Drosophila melanogaster: one gene and its partner. Changing the gene in region 2 together with the main gene of any one other region gives a genetic interaction. Each region holds a gene or a part of one and is shown on either strand. Other genes may lie near its edges.

Region 1 (5,354 bases), 3.7 Mb from region 2:
AAGTCGAATGGTCCGAGGTTGCCCATTAGCATATCCGTGCAGGCACTCCATCGAGGAGAGCCCATCGTGGCGGCTCTGAAGCAGGCCACCAGTGAGCTGCAGCTCTCCCAGGCCCAGATGATGAGCCCCCGTACCGCCCTGGCCAATAAGCTGAATGGTTCCACGCTGATGGTTCCTGCTTCAGCACTTCCGGTCGGCTAAGACACCTCCGAAACTGCCGTGATTGGTCAATAAAACGTAGTTACCACTCCAGTACCTTAAAGGTACAAGTGGAGATCCATTACCCAACCAGGGTACGGGTTTCGTTTAACCTGTGAATAAGCTGCCTTTTAGACAACATATTTTAAAAATTGAATACATTTTAGGATGACGAATTATTTTGTGAATACTTCAATAAATGAATTTAAAACATCATACATAAATCAAACGTTCTATAGCATGTGAAATCTTAGAAATATTCGAATTATATTAATAATCCAGAATTATACAGAATTGTTTTTAAGACGAATTTATTGCAAAAATTGTTATGAAAATCTGCGCAAGTTATTGTATTCTAAAATTGTTATATCTATTTAATAAATTTAAATCGATTTGGCAATTAATGGTCCTGACTGTATATTTTATTTATGTGTTACTTTATATGTATTTTTTATTGATCTCCACTGGCGCCAAGAACATTGATCCTCGGAATCTGAAACGGTGTTATTTTAATATTACTTAAATTTAATATAATAATGAATTAAACTTACTCTTTTGTTTTCGTAGGATGCAAACCTATCCAGCTGGGCTTTCTTTCCTTACACATATTTATTACTAATACAGTTCTGTACAATCTATGCATATTATTGTTTTCTGTGTCATTGGATCTTAAAAAGAAAATATTTCATAGTATTTTATGAATATGCTTAGGAGTACCTACTGTCCAAAAAAAAGTGGTTTCCATTCCGCACAAAAAGAAGTTAAATTTAGCCAATTTACTTTGGAGCAGTATATTGCAGTGCAAGATTTTCCCGAGTTGCTGGATTTAGTATCAACTTGGTTGTCAAATTCTGCGTTGATGGCTGAGCCGAGGCTGCCGTCGAGCTTCCAGCTGACGCAGATAGTTTCTAAAAATATTTTAAATAAATTCGTTAAGTATTCAGCTCTAAAATTGATTTTTTCCAGAATTGTTAACTATTTTTGTACCATACCTTTTTCTTGGTGATCTTGGCAGTGGGATTCTTCACATTTTTAGCTGGAGCCTCCACGACCTTTTCGACCTTCTTGGTAGTTGATGTCTTCACATTGTTCAGAATCTTGCGCAGGAGCCGCGTCCTGGGGCTGTTCCGCATTCTGGGCATATTTTCGAACAGGGTCATCTGTTTGCCATTCAGTTCCAGCGGCTTGCCATCCGCTCCCTTGTTTATGCTGTAGTTCACCTCGAAGGCGAGCTCGAAGAGTCCGGTGGCAGCGGTGGGGTTCTTGGGCAGATCCACCACCACGCGGATGCAATCCTTCAGAACCATCGGACATATCCTGGCCGTGATCTCCGTGGATGGCGACAAATCCGGCGTCGAGTTGATCTCGATCAGAATGGGATTGTAGTGCTCGTCGAGCATGAAGTCGCAACCGTACAGCTCGAAGGCGTTCTGCAACAACTCCGTCTCGTCCAGACTGGCCATCACCACAGCCACCAGGTTCTGCTTGAATCCGTTGTACGTCTTCGACCACGATCCGTCCGGAGCACCCATTATGCGTAGGTAGTTCTTGAACTGATCCAGTGACCACATGTTATTCTTGGGCAGCCGCGAATCCCGGTTGGTCTTGTTCTTGTACCGCTTCTGCACCGAATTATTGGTCAGGTGGATGGACTCCCGCAGATCGTCCATGGTGAACTCCTGCGAGCTGAAGCGCAGGTAGCAGTCGCGATACGTCCATATGCTCACCTTAGTGTCCGTGATGGTCAGCAGCATGTACTGCCGGATGTCGAACTTGGTGCGGTAAATCAGCAGGGGTCGCTCTGAGCGGAAATGTTGATGAAAATTTGTCAAAGGATCAAAGGATTTCTCCACTAGATACTAATCGAACTCACCTATGTACTTCTGGACAATGTATTTCTTGTTCTGATTGTTGGAGGTCCACTGCAGAATGTCGTCCAGGGAGCTGCGGATTACAATGCCGATGCCGCGCGACTGGTATCCGGGCTTGAGAATCCACAGGTTGCGGCTGCCATCCCAACGGTAGTCCGGACGAAGGGACTCGATCTGGTCGAGATACAGGCCCGCTAGACGGGCGTACTCTGCCATCACCTTCTCGCTGACCTTGAACTTAGCATTGGACTTGAGCACATCGGTGGACTGCACCATAAAGGTCTGATTCTCAACGATCTCCGCCGGAGTCGGCGGCTTGATGCGAGCATCGTCCAAGGAGTAGTGCTCCGCGTGGCGCACCATCTTCTTGACCTTGCCGAGCGCAAAGTCCAGAGTGGTGCTGAATATGGTGCCGTTCTCGCTGATCAGCTCTGCCGGCTGGTGCTCCCTTACATAGAGCAGCAGGGAGCGGGCCTGCGTCTGCTGGTAGTCCTCTATGAAGGCCATACGCTCCTCCAGATTGTTACCGCCCAGGCGATAGAAGCGCGGATAGCTCATGCCGCAGACACCGTCCTCGCGATACCAGCGCTCCTGTTCGGCGCAGCCCACCAGACCCACCTTGGTGGAGAAGTCCAGGAACTGGCTGCGGCGCACACGATTCCGGAAGGGTCTTACCTCGGCGCATAGGTCGCGCTGCCCCTTGCCCTGCCAGATGAAGAAGGCTGGGAAATGGTTGATCATCTTGGATATGACCACCGCCTCGTAGTCGTTGCCCCGCCGGGCGTGCTCCAGCAGGGCATCCTCGGACATGCTCTGCAGCTTGGCATGCCGCGAGGCCGGCAGTTTCTCCAGCCAGCCCCTTCGCATTAGAGCCCGTCTAACCGTGTGGTAGTTGCCGTATACGGTGAAGATCCGCCGATTACGGTACGCATCGATCACACGGGTGCGGTAGACATTGCGCATCTGACGCTTTTGTGCTTCCGGCGCCGTGGGCGAGCTGGTCACGGTCCTGGGCAACGGAGTTGATGCACGGACACGGGCCAAAAGATTGCCAATGCTGTCGGGAGAGAAGTTGTTGCTACCCATGCTGCTGCTGCCGCCCATGGTTTTGGACCCACTGCCACCACCAAGCGCTCCGAAATTCGAGAAGTGGCTGCCAAGGCTGGTGCTGTTATTGAGGCTAGTCAGCGGCTTCTGCACGGAGCACTGCTTGCACAGCTGCACCAGCTCCGCGTCCAGGTTGTGAATGAGCGACTGGATCTTTGAGACGGGGTTGTAGTAGCGGTTTCGATTTCCGGTGAATCCTGCCGGCGTGGTGTTCTGCGTGGTCATACTGCTGGCTACTGCTCCTAATCTCCTCCGCTAACTCCGTGGATGAATGTCCTACTGCGTCTGCGTATGCCTAACAGTATCCGTGTCCTGGGAGTGGCCGTGTCCAGTGACCTTGCCCCTTCTCCCGAAAAGGGTGCTTTATTGGTGGGTGGATGGGTGGTCTAGTTACCAATGCAGCCGGTTGCTTCGTACAATTAACGTGGAATTTTGAAGCAGGAGCCAAACAGTTTCTAACAGTATCGCATGTACTAACGAAAAGTCTCGATTGACTTAAAAAGCATTTCTTCGCATAGAAAAGCAAATTTTTTTTAAACCAAAAAAGTAGTGGAAGCCGAATGGGAAATTAAAATTAACGCATTTAAATCAAAGCTTACTGCTGCTGACACAGTAACAAATCAGATTTAACTGAGTTTAGTTCAAATTTTCAAAAGACATAGCAAAAAAGTGGAAAGCGAATTTTACAGAAAACACACACTCGTCTGGTTGCTTTTTTTGTAATAAATTTTAATTTGTAGTTATATTTTCATCATTTGTTTTCGTGGTTTGCTGGGTTTTCTTTTTTCTTTCAAATATATATGGTACATATAAAAAACTCCTAACCGGAATTTTTGCCTAATTTGCTTGTATTGCATTCAATTTTCATGTTCACAATATTGTATAAATATATTTACATAAGTGTATGGTAATCAATTTTATATTTAGGTTATGCATCATTTAGTTTAGTTACGCTCATTTATAAACTTCCTTTTGTGGAATTCTCAACAAAAGTCAACAATTAAACCAATCCTTGTTCAAATCAACATACATATTGTGGATTTAGTTAGTCAATTAAGGTTACACATCATAAATATTTGCTTTACTCTCGCTTTTACTTAGATAATGCTACAGTTACATTCATAAATAAGTTTTCAGTTTTAAGAGCTTTTATAAGTTTCCTTACACGTTTGTAATTCTTTTTTAATTTGCTAATACAGTTGAAATAATTTTATTAAGTATTTTCCTCTTGTTAGTGTTTTATAATATATATATATATTTTAGTTTTATAAATTAATTTAAGCATATGGTATTCATTTTTACTGATTCTTGATTTTTCTCTATTTCAACTTAAGGACAAGCGTTAGTTGCAATTTTGGTTTTTTGTACACATAAGTATAAACTTAAACTTAATGTACGTAAAGACTGTAAAACCAACTTTTCCAGATGCTTTATACGTGTTGTTGTGTGGCAGTTTGTGTGCTTTAACGTATAAAGGGAAAGTAAGTACATGCAAAACTTAAATAGGTTAGTGTATTAGAGGGGGACTTACACATAAATTGAAGAAATTGTTTCAGAATTCAACTGGCCGCTCTTGAAACTGAACTGAAGTAACCACGTAAACGAATTTTATGAAGGGTGTGTATATTTGTTTTGAAAAACAATGGATATGCTTTTAGATTTTGTAAATAGATCCTTTAAAGTATTTTTAAGATTAATTCTTTATTGAAATTCTAATTCCCTTCAGCCAATGAGCAAAGAAATTCTCTTATTCGGGGCTTAAGCAAAGGTTAAGAGTTGAGTTTTGGTTTAGGTTTAGTTCGCCTTTAAAGCTTTTTCGATTTTTCGACTAAATGATCTCGTATATGTAATTATGTAAATAGTTGATTTCAATGGGCGCTTGCGACTTCTACAACTTCCCTTCCTCTTTTGTTTACTTCACATTTAATACTTTGTTGTTAGTTACACGTATGCTTCATAATGTTTAATTATTAGATTTATGATTCATTATAATTTATAAATCGTATATATATGCAGCTGTTATACTCTATATATGTATGCCTGATTGTTGTGCATGTTGTTCAGTTTATAAACTCAATTGGTACGCCGTCTCTGCCTTCTACAAAAATCTAAACAGAAACACGATAATGTCATATGTAAAGCGTATGTTAGTTGTTTTAATTTTAAAGAAATTAAAAT
Region 2 (3,432 bases):
TGTTTCTGGTTATTAGCTTATATTATACCAAAGATACACAAAAAATGTAAAAATAAATCAAGCAAGCAAAGTATTACGAATCATTGGAATAAAGTTCAAAAACTGAAAGGGTTTAACTCAGATAATTAATTTAACAATGATTTAATTATGTTCTGATTGGTCCAACAGTTCTATTTGAATATTAGTTATGCTAACTTTATTTAATAAAATCGTAATTTGTGATTAAATTAGGAATTTTCCTTCACTTAACGTTAGCGTTAGTATTGAGCATCGGATCTACGAAAAGAATTACATCTGTGGTAACTGATCAATGGGAGTGGTAAACTTAAAGTCCTCGGGGAAAAGCTTAGCTGCGTGCGGATACATAAGTTTGTAGGACTGTCTGATGGTGACGTCGGCCACACCGGCTATATCACCGATTTCCTTCTGGCTTCTCTTATGCTCGGATGCTTGTGAGGCCATATAGATTGCGGCTGCGGCCACAGAAATTGGCGAACGTCCCGGTACAATATCCATCTCGACGGCTTTCTTTGCAATGTGCGTGGCAGCGCGTTGGACCATGTTCGGCAGGTCTGATAAGAATTATAGGTATTAATCCTGCTACCTTCAAGTACAGAAAGTGTAAAAACACTTACCCAAGTTGGCGCAGAAGCGGCACATGAAGTCCGCAGTGGTTATGAGATCCACACTTGTCTCGAGAGCCTTCAATGTTAGCTTAAAGCAACGGCCAATCTCTTTTTTGCTGATCTTGCTGACAGCACATATTTCCTTGAATGTGCGAGGAACTCCTTCTTGGCGACAAGCTATATACAGACAAGCGGATGCCTTGGCATCGTTGGAACGACCCTTGAGGTTCTTTCCATCATGAACCTACAAGAAAACGGCATGAGGTCTCAACCAAATCAACCGCGAACTCGAATTTCACCTGTTTGAACAAGTTGTTGGCCCGATCGACAATGGTTTTGGGCAAGTTAATGCGATCGGCCATCGAGGATATCTCCTTAAAGGCTGATATGAGGGAGCGATCCGAGCTGCTCATGGTGCGTCTGTTTTGGTACTTGGGTGCTCCAAAGGCGTCAAAGGATGCGGATCCTGTGCCCGGACCAATTATGGTGGACAAGTCGCCGCCACTGAGCAGCGGATTCTCCGGTCCACCGACACGACTGGGATCCACGCCGCTCTTCTCGTTGCTAAAGGTACGCCACTCGGAGCCCACATCAATTACGCGGTCCCCAACCACCAGACCACACTCGGAGCAAATCATATCGCCAGCCCTGTAGTCCTCGATGAGCGGAGATTCGGGGTGTGCGTAGCAGCACACCTTGTTGTTGTCCAGTCTGCAAGCAGTAAGCCATTATTGGTGTTCACAAATTGTTAGGAAACCCGACTTTTACCTCGATGTCGATGCCATTTGTACTCTGTAAGCTATATATTTTTTTAATACTCACATCAACTGGTGATGTGACTTTGCCCGATAACTCGATAGCTGCTTAGGTTTTTGCTTCACAGAAATCGGAATATGGGAAAGTCAACTTTAATAATTATTTTTCTGTATTTTAAGTTTTCTTGCTGTTAATAATAACTTAACCACCTTTAGCATTTTAGCAATCTGTTTTACTTTCACAATTAATGTTCTATATTTTAAGTTTCCATGCTGTTAATAATAAGCACCATTTTAACTTGATTAAAAGTTATTAATTCATAAATAAAAATTTTTAACAATAATAGATGTTTTTTGTCTAGCCAATTCCAAATTAACGCATGTTATTATTTATTTTTTAAGCTGTTTCTTTTTCACCGTTCCATAAGCGAGACAGGCCTTCAACTTCGCAATTTCGCACCCCACATAAACATGCGAGCATGTTCAAGCATTTGGAAACGTGGCAACCCTGCTCGCTTATTGTTATGGCAACAACAGGATGCCGTGCTAAACAAACTCATTGACATGAGAAAATAATCAAGTTCCGCATTGATGTTCGTAGTTTGTACGAGTTTCGGCTGTGCGAAAAATTTACGGCCAACCTTAACTGGCCCTATATAAATTTCGAAGAGACTATACTCTCCGTGGGGCGAACCGGTCACTGCACAGCAGTCGCGAAATGTTCAAAAACACTTTCCAATCGGGATTCCTATCAATTCTGTACAGTATTGGCTCAAAGCCACTGCAGCTGTGGGATAAGAAGGTGCGCAATGGACACATCAAGCGGATCACCGACAACGACATACAAAGCCTCGTGTTGGAAATAGTCGGCACCAATGTCAGCACCACGTTCATAACATGTCCGGCAGATCCGAAGAAGACGCTGGGCATCAAGCTGCCCTTCCTGGTGATGATCATCAAGAACATGAAGAAGTACTTCACCTTCGAGGTTCAGGTAAGCTTCGTCATCTTGCATAAGACAGTAACTCCATGATTTCCGCCCCTAATCAGGTTCTCGATGACAAGAACGTGCGGCGAAGGTTTAGGGCCAGTAACTACCAGTCGACAACTCGTGTCAAGCCTTTCATTTGCACCATGCCCATGCGATTGGACGAGGGATGGAACCAGATCCAGTTCAACCTGTCCGACTTCACGCGTCGCGCATACGGCACCAATTATGTGGAGACACTCCGTGTACAGATTCATGCAAATTGCCGCATCAGACGCGTCTACTTCTCCGATCGTCTCTACTCGGAGGACGAGCTGCCGCCGGAGTTTAAGCTCTTCCTTCCCATTCAGAAGCCGGTGCAGAAGTCCAATGCGATTTGTAGCTAAATTCTGTATGCATCATCAATCAATTAGAGCACCTAACCAGACGGAGTCGACGATTAAAACGGCACAAAATGCACAAGACTGCCATCCAGCACTCATTCAACACTTTATGGGAATCACGAATAAAAATTGCATCATGTACATAAAATTCTATTGATCTCTTGTAAGTATCTCCGTTCCCGTCTCGGTTATCAGAATGGTGTGCTCGAACTGGGCGCTACGTGCGCCATCCAAACTAATGGCCGTCCAGCCATCTTGCAGCACTGCTATTTCTGCTCCGCCCAGGGACAGAATGGGTTCAATGGTGAAGGTCATGCCGGGCTGCATCTTTCCAGGAATCTCATTATCTACGATGTGCAGTTTGATTAGCAATGGAGGAGTCTCTTAAACAGTCTTACTTACAATAGTGTAGTATCTCCGGGGGGCCGTGGAAATAGCTACCGATTCCATGTCCAATGAAAGCAGCTATCGATGCCAGATCATGTTCGTCGCAATATCTGTCTATGAACTTTCCAATCTCATTGAATTCCACACCGGGGCCGCACAGCGAAATGCACTGATCCAAACAGGATTTAGTGGCCTCCACGAGAAAGCCACCCCGTTCGTCCACGTTGCCCACCCGAAATGTTTCCGAACAGTCGCCATGGTAGCCGTTCAAAAAGACTGTGACATCAATATTT

What was found.
Region 1: of Bug22 (region 2) and TTLL3B, changing one enhances a phenotype caused by changing the other (phenotypic enhancement), as found in Drosophila melanogaster (one study listed by BioGRID).

Annotation. Positions count from the first base shown.
Region 1 is NT_033779.5:6,731,296-6,736,649, reverse strand, and holds TTLL3B (tubulin tyrosine ligase-like 3B), read right to left. Parts: upstream 3,785-5,354; 5' UTR 3,402-3,784; coding exon 2,072-3,401; intron 2,000-2,071; coding exon 1,191-1,999; intron 1,107-1,190; coding exon 975-1,106; 3' UTR 920-974; intron 867-919; 3' UTR 750-866; intron 692-749; 3' UTR 501-691; downstream 1-500. Other genes in the region: TTLL3A (tubulin tyrosine ligase-like 3A), read left to right, coding at 1-201. UniProt on the Drosophila melanogaster protein: Essential glycylase which modifies both tubulin and non-tubulin proteins, generating side chains of glycine on the gamma-carboxyl groups of specific glutamate residues of target proteins.
Region 2 is NT_033779.5:10,429,382-10,432,813, reverse strand, and holds Bug22 (basal body up regulated gene 22), read left to right. Parts: upstream 1-1,895; 5' UTR 1,896-2,099; coding exon 2,100-2,375; intron 2,376-2,431; coding exon 2,432-2,755; 3' UTR 2,756-2,894; downstream 2,895-3,432. Other genes in the region: TfIIB (transcription factor IIB), read right to left, coding at 289-572, 636-870, 926-1,337, 1,395-1,411; CG5188 (uncharacterized protein), read right to left, coding at 2,903-3,099, 3,155-3,432. UniProt on the Drosophila melanogaster protein: Cilium- and flagellum-specific protein that plays a role in axonemal structure organization and motility. Microtubule inner protein (MIP) part of the dynein-decorated doublet microtubules (DMTs) in cilia axoneme, which is required for motile cilia beating.